Linked DNA regions of Canis lupus familiaris. The protein of the gene in region 1 interacts with the protein of each later gene in a pairwise test. Links are inferred from orthologs where the notes say so. Each region holds a gene or a part of one and is shown in the gene's direction. Other genes may lie near its edges.

What was found. The genes of interacting proteins can lie anywhere in the genome.
Region 2: the proteins of CREB1 (region 1) and TSSK4 interact in binary tests that used the Homo sapiens proteins (3 or more experiments, as listed by UniProt). The link is inferred for Canis lupus familiaris from reciprocal best matches to the Homo sapiens genes CREB1 and TSSK4.
Region 3: the proteins of CREB1 (region 1) and CRTC1 interact in binary tests that used the Homo sapiens proteins (3 or more experiments, as listed by UniProt). The link is inferred for Canis lupus familiaris from reciprocal best matches to the Homo sapiens genes CREB1 and CRTC1.
Region 4: the proteins of CREB1 (region 1) and POGZ interact in a two-hybrid assay, tested with the Homo sapiens proteins (2 studies listed by BioGRID and IntAct). The link is inferred for Canis lupus familiaris from reciprocal best matches to the Homo sapiens genes CREB1 and POGZ.

The regions. Positions count from the first base shown.
Region 1 is NC_049258.1:15,805,363-15,809,484, forward strand, and holds part of CREB1 (cyclic AMP-responsive element-binding protein 1), read left to right. Parts: exon of another isoform or gene 1-177; coding exon of another isoform or gene 178-251; intron 252-1,202; exon of another isoform or gene 1,203-1,304; intron 1,305-3,473; coding exon 3,474-3,620; intron 3,621-4,122.
Region 2 is NC_049229.1:4,315,711-4,320,583, forward strand, and holds TSSK4 (testis-specific serine/threonine-protein kinase 4), read left to right. Parts: upstream 1-1,750; 5' UTR 1,751-2,014; coding exon 2,015-2,239; intron 2,240-2,568; coding exon of another isoform or gene 2,569-2,596; coding exon 2,597-2,811; intron 2,812-3,164; coding exon 3,165-3,558; intron 3,559-3,920; coding exon of another isoform or gene 3,921-3,993; coding exon 3,994-4,176; 3' UTR 4,177-4,631; downstream 4,632-4,873. UniProt on the Homo sapiens protein: Serine/threonine kinase which is involved in male germ cell development and in mature sperm function. May be involved in the Cre/Creb signaling pathway. Phosphorylates CREB1 on 'Ser-133' in vitro and can stimulate Cre/Creb pathway in cells.
Region 3 is NC_049241.1:44,800,327-44,805,218, reverse strand, and holds the start of CRTC1 (CREB-regulated transcription coactivator 1), read left to right. Parts: upstream 1-1,769; 5' UTR 1,770-1,827; coding exon 1,828-1,953; intron 1,954-4,892. UniProt on the Homo sapiens protein: Transcriptional coactivator for CREB1 which activates transcription through both consensus and variant cAMP response element (CRE) sites.
Region 4 is NC_049238.1:61,167,533-61,172,097, reverse strand, and holds the start of POGZ (pogo transposable element with ZNF domain), read left to right. Parts: upstream 1-1,442; 5' UTR 1,443-1,623; intron 1,624-3,923; 5' UTR 3,924-4,034; intron 4,035-4,565. UniProt on the Homo sapiens protein: Plays a role in mitotic cell cycle progression and is involved in kinetochore assembly and mitotic sister chromatid cohesion.

The DNA.
Region 1 (4,122 bases):
GGGATCCAGTTGCTTCTCAAAGAACCTTTAACTAGCCTTATTTTCTCAGCCTCTCTCTTTACTCCACCTTCCAAGGTGTCTTAGATACTGAGCCTCTTAAGGATTTTATGGTGCAAATCAGGCTTTCCTTGCCTCTACATCATGAGTTGGCCTTTTGAGATCTTCAAAGTCCATTACCATTCATCCGTCTTCCCAGCATCCAAAACTATTACTCTCATCTCTTTTCCCACTCTTTGCTCATGTGATTGGACCTGTAAAAACAAAATCAATTTTATGAAATTTAATTGGAGATTCAGAAAGGAGCAAAATAATATACACATGTTTAATCTGTCATCTTTATTAGGCAGTCCAAGAACAATGACATGTTGTTTGAGTTATAGAAAAGCTAGTTTTCTATTCCCATTTATATAGTTTTTGTTCTTTTTATTCCTAATTACAGAATTTTTTCACTTGCTCATCCAAGTCCTTACCGTACACATTTTACATTTTTGTCATAATTTCCTATCATAATTTTGATAGCTGGTATTTTTTGGTTGTCAGTATTTAATACTAAAAAAAATAATAAAATTGTCAAATCTTAAGATTGTAGTGATTTGAACAATGAACAGAAAAAAATTCAGCCCAACTAGTAAAGGAAGATAACCAATCTAAAACAATAATGCAAAATGCCTCATTTTGCATTTGGAATTTACAGAAGTTTTTTTTGTTTTGTTTTGTTTTGTTTGTTTTAAGTGCGGGGCTTGAACTCACAACCTGGAGATCAAGACCTGAGCTGAGTTCAAGGGTCATATGCTTAACTGACTGAGCCACAAGATGCCCCTACGGAATTTTTTTTTTTTTAAGTGGGAAGGAAAAAAAATAATGGTTTTGAATAAGAGACTGTAAATTTTTATGGATTTAACTATAGAGGTAAAAGGGTGATCATTCCAACTTTTTCTAATAGGCAAATATGAAAACCTAAATATCCAAAAAATGGAATTTATTAAACAAAAGTATGTAATTTTTATTATGCAGCCATTAAAACCACTGAAGAAAATTGTTAGTGGTATGGAGAGAGGTTTATAATGGATTCAAAAGATAAATTAGATTCCATGATAGTGTATAAAAATTGAGTGCATATATGCACCTTGCAAAACACCTACATCTACAGCAAAAATATTAACAGTGATTAGTGGTAGGAATATAAGGAATTTTTATCTTACCTTGTATATCTGTACCGTTTATAAAATTACAGTGTTAGGAGCTGTTATGTAGAATGATCAGGGTAGAAAAGGGATTAACTGAGTTAGCTTCTCACATTTGTTCTATAAAATAGAGAAGAGGATATAATAAATGCTTGAACTATCAGAAGAGCTTTTGTATGGAAGTAAGAGTAGATACTCTGAGTAACTTAATGTTGTCATTCTCAGACTTTAGTGTAGGGGAAGGTGTCCTTAGCTTTGCCAGGAGAGTCCGACTTTATAAACAGGTAATGGAGGTAGTCCATGAACTACATTTTGAGAACCAGATAAAACTAAGCAAGATTTATAGTGGCCAGAGAGAAAATGATTAATAAGGAGGGACTTCGTAACTACCCAAAGATGGATGCTTCTAGTTTTAACATCAGCTTTCAATAAGGATCTTCCCCCCAACCCTCCGCCCCCAAGCTTCACAGTCAGATGTTTAACTACCTGCTGAACAGATTCAGATATCAGATCAGTTCCACCATCCACCTTCACCCCAGCCACGCAAAAGCTTCTCCTTACTTCTTGTGTTCTTGGTTTTGGTTGATGGCATAGTTTACCAATTCTTACACAAACATGAAATATATGGGTCATCCTGGATTCCTCTCTGACCTCCTTCAAGCAGTCATTCATAATATCCTTTCTAGTCTGCCTCCTGAATTTTCATTAAATCACTTCTCTCATTTTCCCCCCATCACAACTAGTGCTTTATTTCTGGCTTCATCATTTCACCTTAACTACTATGTAAGTTTTCTCCTAAGTCTCCTCTTCTCCACATTTTTCTTTCTCTTAAATAAATGTTTTTCATACTGCCACTGAAGTGATCTATTTGAAATGCAAATCTCACCATGATATTCCAGAGTTCAAAAGCCCTTCACTGCCTTTCTCAGTCTCCTCAGGATAAAGTGCAACTTCTTTAATGTGACATAGATACGGTTTTTCATGACTAGCTCATTCAATCCTGCCCTACTTGTTACAGTATTATCTTGCCCCAGTGTATAATTCATATAGTAATACCCTTATGTGGTCCAGTAGTACTGACTGTTACTCATCCCTCCTTCCCTGAAATTTTGTGGCTCTCCCCTAGGAGTCAAAATACAGCCTAATCTGTATTCTTTGTTTCAAATTCTTATTTTGCCCTCCCTTCCTCTTAGGTGAGGTTGGGTAGCTTTCCTCAGTGTGTTCATTTTTCTCCTGGCAAGTCTCATTACTTCACTGGATTATATTTATTTGTGTTCTTTTTCTCCCTTCCTTCACACATGTACCCCAATAATTTCCTTCATGTTTATAGTTTCAGTTCTGACATTGCTCCTAGCATGTGGGTCCCCAATCACTGTTTACCGAATGAGCAAAAAATGTTGAACCCCTGAGTGTGTTCAAGCAGGAACAATAAATACCATCGGATAGACATATGACATAACAGCCATTTGGACCTGGATATAGACTCACTAAAATTGCCTTCTTTGTGCCTCAGGAGAAAGTAATATTTCTTATATTCCCTGAAGTCTGCTCTTTTATTCCTTCCAGGAGAAAACAAATCCTTAAAATACAACTGTTATATAAGTTTGATTGGGGGGGCGGGTAGAAATTGTCAGTTTATAATACATATTAACACTTTCTCACTAATAAAGGCATACTTGTAATTAGTTTAAAAGAGAAAACTATGCTGTATATTTCAAGACGTGTATTTGTTCTAAACAGTTAAGTTTTGGCTAAGTTGGAGAACATTTATATTTTAGAATATGAGTAACTTAACACATAATAATATCCTGAAGACATTTATATTTCTTCAAGCTAGCATATCTCTTGACCTTGGGTAAGTTATTTAATCTCTTGAGCACTTGATACTCTGTCTCTAAAATGGAGATAATCCTTATTATAATACAGTCTTGATTTCTTCGAAGAGCAAAATGAGAAACCGGATATGAAAGCAGGTAGGAAAATATAAAGCACCATACAATTAAAGTGTACTTAGTAATCAGAGGAAGTCTGTGTTATACATTTTGATATTACATTAAAATAGTTTTTGTCACATAAAAGGATTTGAAAGGGAGGGGCATTTATAGTCTTTTTTTTTTCTTCTTTTTTTGAGAATATTAAATTTAATCATTAGTTTCTTTCACACCAATGAAATACTTGTCTAGCAGAAAAGTCATCTTTTTCCTGCTAAAAACGTTGCTTCATATTGAACATGACTACTCTTAAGGAGGTATCTGTGATGGTAATTTTTTTCCATGTTCAACACCATAGGTATCTATGCCAGCAGCTCATGCAACATCATCTGCTCCCACCGTAACTTTAGTACAGCTGCCCAATGGGCAGACAGTTCAAGTCCATGGCGTTATTCAGGCGGCCCAGCCATCAGTTATTCAGTCTCCACAAGTCCAGACAGTTCAGGTATGTGTATAAAAAGTTCTGCATCTACTTTCATAACTGTCGTTTATAGCCATATCTCTCTCCTTTCATTAGTTATGGAAATAGGAACATACCTAGTTCAGAGTTTATTTTGCTTTACAGTAAAGGATTATGCTGCGTCTGTATAGTCACCTTATGTATAGGTACATATGTACACAAGAACAGATATAAGAAAAAGACTTTTTCTTAAGCTACAGAAGAAAAAGAGTTGATTGGGGAAAATCATTAAGTCCATGGGATAAAGTGGAAACGTTTGAGAAAGACTAAGGCTAATATACCTTAGTTCAGGAAAATTGAGATATAAAAATAATAACTTTGTAATTATTTTTCTAAACATGCAATTGGAAAAAATAAACCTTTGTCAAAATTAATAACCTTACCTAAGATATTACTTAAATTTGGAGATCATAGAAAGCATTGTGTAAAACCACCTATGTCTTGGGGTATAAGTTAGAGTACATAACTTTGAAATAATGATATATTC
Region 2 (4,873 bases), on another chromosome or scaffold:
ATAAAAGAATTTGGGCTTTTCTTTGGGGTCGGCCGTGGAAACAAGATGACGAAGGGGACATCATCGTTTGGAAAGCGTCGCAATAAGACGCACACGTCGTGCCGCCACTATGGCTCTAAGGCCTGCCACCTTTAGAAGTCCACCTGTGGCAAGTGTGGCTACCCTGCCAAGCGGAAGAGAAAGTATAACTGGGAGTGCCAAGGCTAAAAAACGAAATACCACTGGGACTGGTAGAATGAAGCACCTAAAAATTGTATACCGCAGATTCAGGCATGGATTCTGTGAAGGAACGACACCTAAGCCCAAGAGGGCAGCTGTTGCAGCATCCAGTTCATCTTAAGGATTTCAACGATTAGTCAAAATAAATGTTCTGGTTTAAAAAAAAAAAAAGAATTTGGACTTGATCCTGAGGAGAAAGGGGAGGCAATGAATTGTTTTAGGTGGGAATAAAACCAGTGTTATGCCTTGGAGTTCAGGGTGAAGACCTGAGGGGAGCAGAAAGCTTGCTAGAGTGATCGGTTGATGGAGGTTTGACCTAAGACAGTGGCAGCTGCTCCGAGATCCCAGAATGTATTATGAAAGATAATTAGGAGGGAGAAGAGGTGACAGATTGGATGTAGGGGCTAAGGCAGACAGAAGGGTCTAGGATGACACCTGGGTGTGTAAATTGAAGCAATGAGTATAGAACTTAACAGAGAAAGTCTAGAGCAAGAACCTAAAGAGTTCAGTTTTGGACAGGGTGAGTTTAAGATACTTGGGGAAGACATGTCCATGTGCTGTCCAGTGAGCAACTGGTGCTGGAACTCCAGGGGACATCTGGGATAGAGATGAGATTAGGAGCAGTCAGCATTGATGTAATGTTGGGAATGGGTGAGATCCTAATGGGAGGACATAAAGCTTTGAGGAAATAAGGCCTGTGGTAGAACCTTCAGGATATGATGGAGGGATAGATAAAGAAGATAAGGCTCCAGGGAAGTCTGAGGAATGGCTAGAAGGATAGGAGTAAAACTATAGAACTTAGGGTCATGGAAAGCAAGACAAGAATGCATTTCAGGGTTCACAGGTGGAGTCTATTACACCCCTTCGATCTGAGAGATCCTTGTAACCCTGTAACTGTCTTTACTTGTATAAAGGTGTAGAAGTGAGGTTTTGCAACTTTGGAGTCTAGGCTTCACGTGACCATGCAATTTCTCTTTTTTTTTCCTCTTAAAATTCAGTGCTATTATGTCAAAGAACTCTGGCTAGTCCCCTGGATAGTGAGACCATATACAGCAGAAACAAGCCATCCCAATTAAGATGAGGCCACCAGAAGAACCAGCCACTGAGCCCACCTCAACTTGCAAAAGAAAAAAAGAAAAAAGGCGGTTGCTTTAAGCCAAAAAAAAAACAAAAAACAAAAAAAAATCACTTAAGGTTAAGATTCCTTAGAATAGGCTTCTCCAACACCTTGTAAGTCTCTGTAATATCCTCACACGTGTTTCTCATGCTGGAGAATACACTCTAGGAGCAGAGGGTCTCTGTTGGCGTTATGGGCTATTTTGGCCCAGTACTCGCACACTGCCTGGCACACAGTGGGTGTTCCATAAACGTGGATGGTTGAAGGGACTAGATCTTGGCCGGGGCAGGGGGGCGGGCATCTCACCAGGTTGCAGAGGTTGCCTCCAGGAATATATTCCACAGTGCACTTCATTCTCAAGCCTCATGGCCAGGGGCACAAAGAAGGTGAATTGTGAGGTATATGGAACACAGGACCTTGGGAGTTCCGTAACCAGGGGGAGAAAGAAGTAACAACAGCTAGTGGGAACAAAAAAGAACTGCTGCTCCCTTCATCCCCCTCCACGTTCCTAGTGGAGAGTTGAGCTCAGCACCCCAGACTCGCGTGACTATATAGGCAAGCATTTGGAGACTAACTTTACTTTGGTATCCTAGCCCTCAGTAGCTCAAGGTTGGCTTTCTGAGCAGATAAATAGGCTTTTAAGTAGCAAAGTTCCCTGCTCTCAGCAAGCCTGACACCATGGGGAAGGGAGACACCTTGGAGATAGCACCAACCCCCTCTGCCTACCGCTCTGTAATGGAGGAGTACGGTTACGAGATGGGCAAGGTCATTGGCAATGGCTCCTATGGGACGGTGTACGAAGCTTACTACACAAAGCAAAAGGTCATGGTGGCTGTCAAGATCATCTCAAAGAAGAAGGCCTCTGAGGACTATCTTAACAAGTTCCTGCCCCGTGAGATACAGGTTGGAAAGGGGGCTGGAAGAGGGAACTCATACTGAGTTGCTAAAGACTTCTCAGAAGAGGGTAGGGTCAGGAAGGGGAGGAGCCAGCACACCTGTTCCCTCCCCCACAATCAGGGCTGAATGTCTTACTGAGCAGCAGGAAAAGGACTCCATGTAAATTCAACCTCTTTCCATTCACCCACAGGCCCTCACAAAGTAAAAGTCCAAAGCATAGGGTTCACCCACAGCCCACCAGCTCTCTGGAATTTAATCCTTTTGCATGGTTCTAAGTAGGTTAGCAGTGGGATGGCAGGAGGGCTGGGAGCACAGCCAGGGTTCTCCCTTCCTAGGTTTGATGGATCCCTCTTCTGGGGCCAGGTAATGAAGGTCCTGCGGCACAAGTACCTCATCAACTTCTATCAGGCCATTGAAACCACATCCCGAGTATACATCATTCTGGAGCTGGCTCAGGGTGGTGATGTCCTCGAGTGGATCCAGCGGTACGGGGCTTGCTCTGAGCCCCTTGCTGGCAAGTGGTTCTCCCAGATGACCCTGGGCATCGCCTACCTGCACAGCAAGGGCATCGTGCACCGGTGAGGGCACGGCCACCCAGGCTGGGGTCTCCCATTTTCTTCCCTTTTTTTTCCCCTCCCTCAACCTTCCTCGGTTATCTAGGCCTATTCATCCCCTCTATTGTAATGCTTTGCTCAAGAATGTTTATGTAGCGCCCTCTGTGAGCACGGCACTCTATGAAGTACAATGATGAGCCCCAGTGGTCCTCAGGTACCCTCCTCTCTCACCTCGCGGCTCTGCTCACAACTCCGCGGCTCCTCCCTCTCTACCTTGTGTCCTCATGACCGTGCCTCTCTCCCACTCTGCCTTTCCACCTCTAGCCTCTGACCCCTGGCCCTTCAGCTCCCGGTCTAATACTGAGCCCTCTTCCCAGCCTGACCCCCAGCCTTTCTGCTGCTGGTAGGGACTTAAAGTTGGAGAACCTGTTGCTGGACAAGCGGGAGAACGTGAAGATCTCAGACTTTGGCTTCGCCAAGATGGTGCCTTCTAACCAGAGAATGCATAGTAGCCCTTCTTACCGCCAAATGAACTGCTTTACGCACCTCAGCCAGACCTACTGTGGCAGCTTTGCTTACGCATGCCCGGAGATCTTGCTGGGCTTGCCCTACAACCCTTTCCTGTCTGACACCTGGAGCATGGGCGTCATCCTCTACACTCTAGTGGTCGCCCGGCTGCCCTTTGATGACACCAATCTCAAGAAGCTGCTGAAAGAGACTCAAAAGGAGGTCACTTTTCCATCTAACTACTCCATCTCTCAGGAGTGCAAGGTGCTGGCTCCCCCAGGCGGGCTGAGGCCTTGGGGATAACCTACAGGGAGGGAATACCCATCCTAGGCGTCCCCACCCTGGGGGAAGCTCTTCCCCACCAGAGCAATCTCACACTTGAGCCCCTACCCTAGAGTAGTTGCTGGGGAGGGAGTTAAAGGGCTACCCCTGGGCGTGTGAGGGATAAGCAGGTTTCAGCCTCTTGTCTCTTTAGGCCAGGAGGGGATTATGTAAGGGTTTTCCCCCAGGGAACCCTTCCTTCCCTTCTCCTCCAAGGAGATAAATGCCAGGCTCTTCAAGATAAAATCAGGGCCATACCCCCTTTCACCAGAGTGGTGTGATGGGCTATCTTGCTTCTCTCTCAGGTCCAACAGCTAGTTGCCTGTGTGGCACAATGGGGGGCAAGCTCAGCCAAGACCTCTCTCTCCTCTGCCCTAGAATCTGGTCCTTCAGACACTATGCCAAGCCACCAAGCGTGCCACCATCCTGGACATCATCAAGGATCCTTGGGTGCTCAAGTTCCAGCCTGAGCAACCCACCCATGAGATCAGGCTGCTTGAAGCCATGTGCCAACCCCCCAGCACCCCTAATCGGCACCAATCCTTGGAAATCAACACCTAAAAGTGGTTGGTTGAAAGGGGGTTGAGAGAGGAGCAAAGCGGGAGGGTCTGGGGCTAAAAATCTATAAATCTATTTCTGATTTAGTTTTACTAGCTGGGGTCAAAGACATTCTTTCCTCAGGGGAACCTTAGCAAGAAACACTACTGAGGGTAAGAGGTGGATTTCTAACCAGTCTGGAACCAGCCATATTGGCACCTGTGAAGTCCACTTGGTAATTCACAATGTAGCACATATGCTGCTCATGGGAGAGAGGGTGCTGGGATGAATGCCCACTTTTGGGAAGCTTCATTATTCTGGCTAAGGAAATGCTCACTATTTTGTATCTGTGTGCATTCTAAATGTTCAAGTAGGGGGGTAGAGGCCCTGGCTGCTGTTTGGTTATGGCTCTATCTCTGTTTACTGTCCAAAGGGATGGCAATATTCTCTTTGAAGAACAAATATCAGGGGTATCAAGATGTGTGATGTATCTTGGTTCCTGCTCCCTCCTCCAAGTAGTTGTTTTACTATTGAAAAAACCCCAGTGAATCATGGCCCCTCAATTAGTGCTCTTAGAAACAAACGACAAGGGCGCATGGGTGGCGCAGGTGGTTGAGTGTCCTGAGCTCAAAAGCTCAGGGTCGTTGGATGGAGCCCTGCATCAGGCTCTGTGCTCAGTAGGGAGTCAGCTTGGGGTTCTCTCTCCTTCTCCCCCTGCCCC
Region 3 (4,892 bases), on another chromosome or scaffold:
ACAAGCAACCCCTCTAGCCATCCCCTCACCCTAGTAAAAACTGCTCTTTTTAAAAACCAATCTTTCAGGACACCTGGGTGGCTCCAGTGGTTGAGCATCTGCCTTTGGCTCAGGGTAAATCCCAGGGTCCTGGGATCAAGTCCGGAGTCAGGCTCCCCAGAGGGAGCCTGCTTCCTCTGCCTATGTCTCTGCTTCTCTCTGTGTCTCTCATGAATAAATAAAATCTTTTTTAAAAATTTAAAAATAAATTTTTCGGGATCCCTGGATGGCTCAGCAGTTTAGCGCCGCCTTCAGCCCAGAGCGTGATCCTGGGGTCCCGGTATCAAGTCCCACGTCAGGTTCCCCGCATGGGAGCCTGTGTCTGTGTCTCTGCCTCTCTCTCTCTCTGTCTCTCATGAATAAATAAATAAATAAAATATTTAAAAAATAAAAATCAATTTTTCTTTTCTCTTTGCTTCTTTCTTTTAAGTGTGGTTTTTGTGCAATTAGAGCTATCGCACATTCCCCTGGCTGCTGCTCTTGGCTCCCACCCTGTCCATGCCTAGAAACCCCTGAAGCCTCCTGAATATAAACCAATATTTGATATTGGTGGTCATGGTCCCTCTGCTTGGGAAGGGAGAGTTAGATGTCAGAACGTTTCTTGTTTCCCTGGTTCACCCTCCTGCCACTGGGAAGACCCTGCTATCCTTCTCACTGTGGGATGTAGTCTAGGTGGGACTTCTGGGCTCCCCATGGCAAACCTATGTTCCTTCAGGATTAAGAGTCCAGAGAGTAGAAACTGGTCGAATGTAAGGTGATAGGGAAAGCAAGATGTTAAAGATGATCCCTATTTTTTTTTTTAAGATTTTATCCATTTATTCATGAGAGACAGAGAGGAGACAGAGACATAGGCAGAGAGAGAAGCAGGCTCCCTGCGAGGATTCCGATGTGAGACTCGATCCCAGGAGCCTGGGATCACGCCCTGAGCCCAAGGAAGATGCTCAACCACAACCACCCAGGCGGCTCGATGCCTGGGATTTTGGGCTGTGGAGGCTGCTGGCAAGGTTCAGGTCTCAGTTCAAATGCCTCCCTACTTCCCTGACAGTGGTGGCTGGGAGCCTCCCTTCCTATCATCAATATCCTGCCAGTCCATTACTAGTTTTATTTTCCACATCACAATTATCTCCATCAGAAATGTTCTTGGGTCATCTGTTGGTTGCTTATGTTTGTCCCCCCTCCCTAACTGCGCACCCCATCAGGTCAGGGACCACATCTGCTTGCTCACGCCTTTTCCCCAGTGTTTCTGGCACATACTGGCGCTCAATAAATATTCGTTGAATGAATGAATGCATGAATGAGCAACTCCCTGGACTGGTTGGTCTCAAACAGTCCTAGTCCCGGCTCAGCATCGGGGTGCTACCTGTCCTTGTGGGTTGCTGGCCCCATCCTTGTAAACTGGAAGGTTTTGGGTCCGGCAGTCTCCTTGGGGGCTCCGGCGCCCCAGCCGGTCCGCGAACCATGCTTGTCCAACAGCCAGGCGGCCGCTGTCCAGCGGGCCAGGAGTCTACTCACTACGCATGTGCCCAAAACCTACTCTCGCTCCCACCTCCCGCCCCTCGCCTCCCGCCTCCTCTGCTGGACCCAAACGCGCCCCTGAGACGTGCGCATGCGCAGTCGCCCCCGCGCCGCGCGCCGCTCCCGTACGCCTGCGCCGCACTCACGACCACCAACGCGCCTGCGCACTGCCCGCCGCCCGCGGGCCCGGCCGGCGCTTGCGCGGTGGCACTGGCGAGTGGGGGGGGGTGAGGAGGTGGAGGAGGAGGAGGAGGAGGAGGCGGCGGCGAGAAGATGGCGACTTCGAACAATCCGCGGAAATTCAGCGAGAAGATCGCGCTGCACAACCAGAAGCAGGCAGAGGAGACAGCGGCCTTCGAGGAGGTCATGAAGGACCTGAGCCTGACGCGGGCCGCGCGGGTAAGGGGGCTGTCCGCGCCGACCCTTCGGGGCCGGGAAGAGAGGGAGGGGGCGCGTGTCCGGCGTGTGCACGGGGCGGGGGGCGCGCGGCGGGGGCGGGGCGCGTGCGGCGGGGCGGGGCTTGGCACAGCCGGAGGGTACAGGTGTCCCTACGCCCCGGACATCGTGGGCGGGAAAGGTGCCCCCACATCACCGGTACCTGAAAGGGTTCAGGTGCCCCCACATCATTGCTACCTGGAGGTGGGGATAGGTGTCACTACATCATTATTATCCGGAGAGGACGGTGGCCTCTACATCATTACTACCTGGAGGGAATAGGTGCCAGCCACCACATCACTGTACCTGAGGAGGGACAGGTGTCTCTATATCCCTTCTACCTGAAGGGGTCACATGCCTCCATATCACTGCTACCTAGGGGAGACAGGATGGCACTGTGAGGTGTATGAACTGGGCGCTGCTTGTAAGCATCATTGTTGCCTGGGGAGGGGGATAGGTGTTTCCATATCGTTGGTACCTGGTGCAGGACAAGTGCCCCCACATCACTGAGATCTGAGGGGAACAGCTGTCCCCACATCATTGCTATCTGAAGGGACAGGTTCTTTCTACATCTTTGTCATCTGTGCCTTCACTCTCTGGGTGTTGGAGGAAGGACAGGTATCCCTATTTGCAGACTTGAGGTGGGATAGGTATTTCTCACTTTTGGATTATCTGAAGGAAAGTTTTGGTGTCGTCTCCTGTGGGAACCTGGGGGTGGTTAAGAAGGCAGATTGTTCTCCATCCTGGAGTTTGGAGTGGAAACTGCTACCCCTTCCTCAGGTAGCCCATATGGTGGGGACCAGGTGTGCTCCTCCCACTGAGATAAGGGACAGCTGGCCACGGATGGCTCCTGGTCTCTCAGGGACCAGGGTGGAGGGACAATTCTTCCTTAAGTTGCTGGGTGTGTTTGGCCTGCAGAGGCAGGCCAGGTTACCTGCTCACCTCGCCTGGGAAGCTACTGTTGGCCCCTAGAGGAGTGGGAGGCCTGGCCCTTCTCTGGGCCCAGCTCTCTGGCCACATGACTGCACTGAGGTACCAAGCTTCTCAGGCCTTAGTATCCTGTTTTGTCGAGTGTGTCTGGCAAGTCCTTGTGGGTCAAGGAGGAGAGCACGCTTTGCACAGGTGGCAGTAAGTCTCTGCTGCATTCCTATAGAGTGGTGGGACCCTCCCCCCTGTCCTGCATCTTAAGGCCTCAGGGAGGATTTGGATGGGAGCTGCAGACATGCATATGGCTGGTTTCTGGACTCTGCCTCTGATCTGACTGTTCTAGGCAGACATACCTCTGTGACAAGAGCCTCAGTCTCTAATTCTTCAGGTGCAATTTTCAAGTCAAACTCTTCTAATTACTCACCTGTTTCTCTGTGAGATCACGACCATATAGGCTAGAATGTGTATCTTCATTTCTGTGTGTTTGTTTGCCACATGTTGTTGGGGTGCTCACCATTGACCAGGTACTGCCTGTTCTTGCTCTAGCAGCTCATGTTTTTGCTTAGCATGTAGAGAAGGAGATGGTTGGTGATTGAATGAATGAAAGCAAGCAAAGCAAGCAAGTGAGCATGTACCTTGAGTGTTCCTATAAGTCAGGGCTTCTGAGGGCAGGAATGTCCACTTTATCTTGCCTCATGCAGAAGGTGTATGTAGTGTAACAGGAAGAAGGAGGTCATATTAGGTTGATGGCTGTCATCACGACTGGAGGTCTGGTTTCTGCATTGAGGTTGGAAATGTATTATTGTATTTAAAAAGATTTCTTTAAAATAACAGCTTTATTGAGATATAGTTTGTGTAACATATAATTCACCTGTTGAAAGTGTAAAAGCCAGTGGATTTTAGTATATTTACAGGGTTGTGCAACCATCGCCAGTGTCTAATTCCAGAACACTTTAATCACCCTCAAAAGAAATCCCATCCTCATGGGCAGTCACTCCCATTCTGCCCTCCCCTGGCCCATGGCAGCCACCAGTCTGCTTTCTGTGTCTATGGATTTACCTATTTTGCACGTTTCGTATACATGGGATCGTACAACATGTGACCTTTCGTGTCTGGCTTCTTTCACTCAGCATAATATTTTCAAGTTTCATCCACATTAGCATGTATCTAAGAATTTCATTGCCCTTTTTTTTTAAGATTTTATTTATTTATTCATAAGAGAGAGAGAGAAGCAGAGACACAGGCAGAGGGAGAAGCAGGTTCCATGCAGGGAGCCTGATGTGGGACTCGATCCCGGGTCTCCAGGATTACGCCCTGGGCCGAAGACAGGCACTAAACTGCTGAGCCACCCAGGGATCCCCATTTCATTGCTTTTAATAGCCAAGTAATACTCCATTGAATGCGTGGAGCACATTTGCTTATATGTCATCTATTGATGGAGTTAGAAAAGACTTGTAAAATATGCAGTCATTCTCTCAGTCCTGGTAACCATTCTCTGTTTCCTTCCTCCCTCTCTGTTACCTTCCTTTATACTGGGAGTTGGGCGTGACCCTGGGCGGAGGTGAGCTTACACTGGATCTCATGAGACAGAGCAGTGTTCCGTATCGGGGGCGATTCTGTCCTGCAGGGACATTGGGCAATGTCTGGAGACATTTTGGTTGTTTCGTCTGGGGGAGGGGGTGCTACTGGCATCTAGTGGGTAGAGAGCAGGGATGCTGCTCAACACCTCACGATTCATGGATGGCCCCCACCACAGAGAGTGATGCGGTCCTAAACGTCAGCAGTGCTGAGGCTAAAAACCCTTCAGTCTGGAGGAGATGTTGAGTGGGCAGGGGTACAAGCTTTGTACCTGGGCAGATAGAGTTCAGAGCTCTGCACCCACTTGTATGGCTGTGGCATCTTGGATGGGCTGGTAGCTTTTCCCACACCTGGGACCAGGTTGAGCAAGCTCTTTACAGGCCTGTTTGGCTGTTGCA
Region 4 (4,565 bases), on another chromosome or scaffold:
AATAACTTTATAATGAATTATAATTATAGTAGGAAAGTATAAAATAGGATTTGAGCTTCTTGTAGAATTTGTCTTCTGGTGATTGATTCCATAATCCCATCTTAGGCTTTTCTAGATCAGGTCTGGAAAGGCTTCAGAAGTATTTTTGGAAGGATTGGTGATTTTTTTTTCAATCCAAATAATAAAGTTCTTGCTAAAAATGACACTTTGAGATCATTCACATGTACTTAGTATGAAATGAGATGAAGTGGAATGAAAATGGACGGCATTGTGTACACACAGGTGCATGAGGGAGCAATTTGTAATGCCTAATTCCATCGCCTATTTTCAGTCTGGTGGTTGAATAAAGTGCACATATATAAAAAAATGAATAAATATGGTTCTGATTCTCCCCAATCTTGCACAAAGTACTTTGATCTACATTGGCTTGGAGTAAATATTTGTGTATTGCTTAGAGAGCAACAACATACTCACATATCCAAGGAAAATTTTACAATATTATCATCTCTGAAAGTAAAAAAAGGACTAAATTTCTTAGATACCTGGAAAAGAGGTACTTCTTGTTCGGGGAAAAATTACAGGTGGCTGGTCTTGAATAGACTCCTTTCTTTGAGCCAATCCCCCTCAGCCTTGATCGGAGCAAAAAGCACAGATGTAGAATCTATGGTTTCTTAGAATTGAGGATTTGTGCCGAGTCTATTGACAAACGGCTTCAAAGCAGTTTCCATACATGAGTCACTTTGATAAGCAATATATGTGATTTATTTCCAGAATCCAGTAGGGTTCAGAGTAAAAATAGCTTTTAAAAGTTCTTCACTTAAGACTACTGCCACAAGGCTACTTGGCCAAATGCCTCCTGATGAAGAGTATGTGCCATTCTGCTGCCTTTGTTCCAAGGACAGTTGTTGGTGCCATTGGGTCTCACCACCTGGCCTGTGGCATGAGGTTCTCCTCTTGGTTAGGTACAAGACTTGAGTGGAAAGTGAGGAGGTGCCCAAAATTTCTTTGGAAAGTCCAGGCAAGTGAATTGGGCACTATTTTCCTTGGAAATTCCATTTTCCTCATCAAGATTTAGCTGTTGCTTCTGAAGCTAATTATTCTTATTTCATTTTTCTTAAATGTTTTTTATTTATTTATTTATTTATTTATTTATTTATTTGCAGGTCCAGACAAACTTGACTGGAAAAGAAGCCCGGGCAGGGGTTAGGATGAGCCCATGACGTGTCCCACGCCGCAGCCAATTGCGAGGCCACGAGAGGGGGAGGGCGGAAGTGACGAGACGTATCCCTCCGCGGAGCGAGAGGGTCGGTGGGGGGAGTCGGCGTCTCTCTCCCCCGCGCCAGCTCCCGTACACGGAGCCGCATTCCTTGGCCCCCCCACCCCCTCCCTCGGGGCCCCCCCGCCCCCCTCGGGAAAAAAATCCACCCCAAGTCACTGGAACCCGAGGGAGGTTTCCTTTCCCCCGCGGGGAGACGCGCTCTCCACGGTTCCCTCTCAGCCGTCTCCCCAAGCCCCCGTCCCCTCCCCTGCTCCCACCCCCTTCTCCCGGCGCCGGGTGCGAGGTCCCTTTAAGGCGACGGCGCCTTCCTCGGGTCAGACTACCGGCGGCGACGACCACGGGAGGTGAGTAAGCGAGCGGGCGAGCCTTCTTTCTCCCCACCCCCTTCTCCCGGGGGTTCCGTTATCTTTTCGCTCGGCGAGGCGCTCGGAGGCGAGACAATGAGAGGGGGATGGGGCGGGGGCGCGGGGGGTGGGGGCAGGGGCCCGGTGGCGCGCGCCCCTGCTCCCCGCGAGTGCAGCGCGGCCCGGGCGGCGGCGGCGGGCATGGGGCGCGGCTCGCGAGCGCGTGCGCCCCCGGAGCCGCGGGAGCTCGGGAGCCGCGCGACGGTCTGGGCCGGGCGGACCCTGCCTGCCTGCCTGCCTGCCTGCCGCCCGCCCCCGCCCCCCGGCGTCCTCCGCGGCGCGCGCGCGCGCACTCGCGCCCCACGGCCCCGCACACACCGACGTCCACACGCACGCCGGGCGCGAGGCGTCTCGGAGGAGTGGGCGGGCGGCGGGCGGTGGCCCGCGGGGAGGGGGAGGGGGAGGGGGAGGGGGCGGGCGGCTGCGAGTCGGCGGGCGGGGGGCGAGGCCGCGCCGAGGTGACGTCCCGGGGGGAGCGCTCGCTTCTCCCGCCGCGCCCTCCCGCCTCCCTAGGACTGGGGCGCTGTTCGGGCGCGAGGAGGAAAATGAGGGGTCGCTGTGCCGCTCCCTTGTGTTACGTAATCGCCGCTCGGTCCACTAGTACCTCCCAAGCCGTAGTGCGCTGCAGTTAGTTTACCAAGTCTCCTCCCTTGGCCCTAAAATTTCTCTGCGTTGGCGCCGTGATTTGTAAAATGGAATGGGGCGGAAAACCTTTCTTTCGGCTGATTATATCCTGCCGCGGTGGGCGCCATGTTCCTCCCGGGGACTATTTTGTCTAGATTCTCAGCACCTCCTGGGGAGGACTGATGTCGTTGATCCACCTGCCTCCCCTCCTTTCTGCCACTGACCCTGTTTTCCTCTCCCGCCAGACGCGGGATTCCTCCACGCTGTTCCTAACTGTGGACATAGCTCAGCTCACTTGTCTTGGGCCTTCTTTAGCCCAGAAAAAGAGATGGGAAGAGGCTTGGAAGTCAGTTGGCCCCATCTCCTCTCTGAGATGCACACGGGAAGACAATTTTACCATCTCAGAACCACCACCTTGTTGCGGGTTGTAGCTCAGCCTTCTACATTCTAGACACCTCCCACTGCAGTTCAAAACCCTGCAGAAATGGAGTTTTACTTTCAAAGGAGTTTCCCCATCTAGTTGGAGGGGAAAGAGCGGGGCAGAGAGGGCTGCTCCTTGGTGAACAACATTGAATTTCCAGACCATGATGTGTTGTTCTTGGGACCGGGAGTTGGACTCTGAATTCGAACTCGTTCTCTAGATCTTTAAGTTCGGGATAGCTAAAAAGTACCTTGGAGGTTGCTGAAAGTGCTGTGTTAGGGGCTTCGTCCTCAAGTCTTTTCAGGTGGGAAGGGGAGGGTGTGTGTGGTGCTATCTTCTCTAAATTTTAACCGCCACATAAAGAACTGTTGATTTAGCGTAAAAGTGCTCAAAATACAATCTTAAAACAATTTCATGGCAAATTACGTCCTTGATTTCCTTCCCCTTATACTACGGTTATGACACACCGGTCACGTTGGTGATGTATCTCAAACTAAAGGAACTAAGAAGATGAAGACTCTTGGGATGAACAGGATTTTGTTCGTTTCCACCCCAACCTTGAACCAGTGATATAATCTTGGAAAAGGTGACCCACTGACCTCTGGGGATCATTCAGAGCCTTCCAGGGGACCTGAGAGGTCATAACTATTTTCAAAGTAGAAAATACTAAGACACTATTTATCTTTCTTCCAGTGACATTTGCACTGATGGTCCAAAAAGCAAAGCTGAGTAAAACTGGTGGTCCGTTAGCACAAAGCAAGGCAGTTACACGAAACACCGTGTGAAAATGGCCTTGATGAAACAGTAGAAATGATTTTTGTTAAATCTCAACCCTTGGGTACATGGTTTTTTTAAGTTTTAAGAATCTTTGATCGAATAGGAAGGATGCATAAAGTACTTTGCTGACTAAGGAGGTACGGTCCTTCTCATAAGGAAAAGCGCTTGTGAGATTGAGTTATGAGCTGCTTGTTTCATGGAACAGCATTTTCACTTGAAAGAACTGACAAACTACAGTTTTTCACACTTTAAGGTTGCGCTTATATTTTCTTGACAACGAGGCGAGCATGTTATTTTGAGGAAACAATTGACAGTATTTGTTACCAATGATAAAAATTTGAGAGTGAAAATTAGAATTTGTCAAAAGTTGACATCTCAGGTTTAACAGTTTAAATATTTTCTATATTTATATTTGTAGTGAAATATGTCAACATTTGGAGGATGGGCATCGCAGTAAATCTATATTTTCCAAGCAACCAATGCTGATATTTCACAATCATCATAAGTAAATATCCTTTCAGAATGCAAGGTACACTAGTGGATTTTAATGTAATAAAATATGAAAAGTTCATTGATAGGGATTCAGATTCCAAGATGCAACTCTTCTTTAAGAAACTACCATTTGGGGACGCCTGGGTGGCTCAGTGGTTGAGCATCTGCCTTTGGCTCAGGGCATGATCCCAGTTTAAGGATCGAGTCCCACATCGAGATCCCTGTGAGGAGCTTGCTTCTCCCTCTATGTCTCTACCTCTCTCTGTGTCTCCCATGAATAAATAAAAAAACCTTAAAAAAAAAAAAAGAAACTACCATTTGTCGAGTTTTAGTATTGTGTCAATATACACAGCTGTCTGAAAAGGTTTTTGAATACTTTTCCTTTTTCCTGCTGTGAGGCCAGATAGTCTACAGCAACAGACTGAATGCATAAACACTATGAGAATCCAGCTGCTTTCTATTAAGCTAGACCTTAAATTTAGGCAAAAATGTAAAAAAAAAAAAAAAAAGGTTACTCTTTTTGGGAAAAATAGTAATTTTTAATTGAAAGTGTTATTTATGTCAGCTT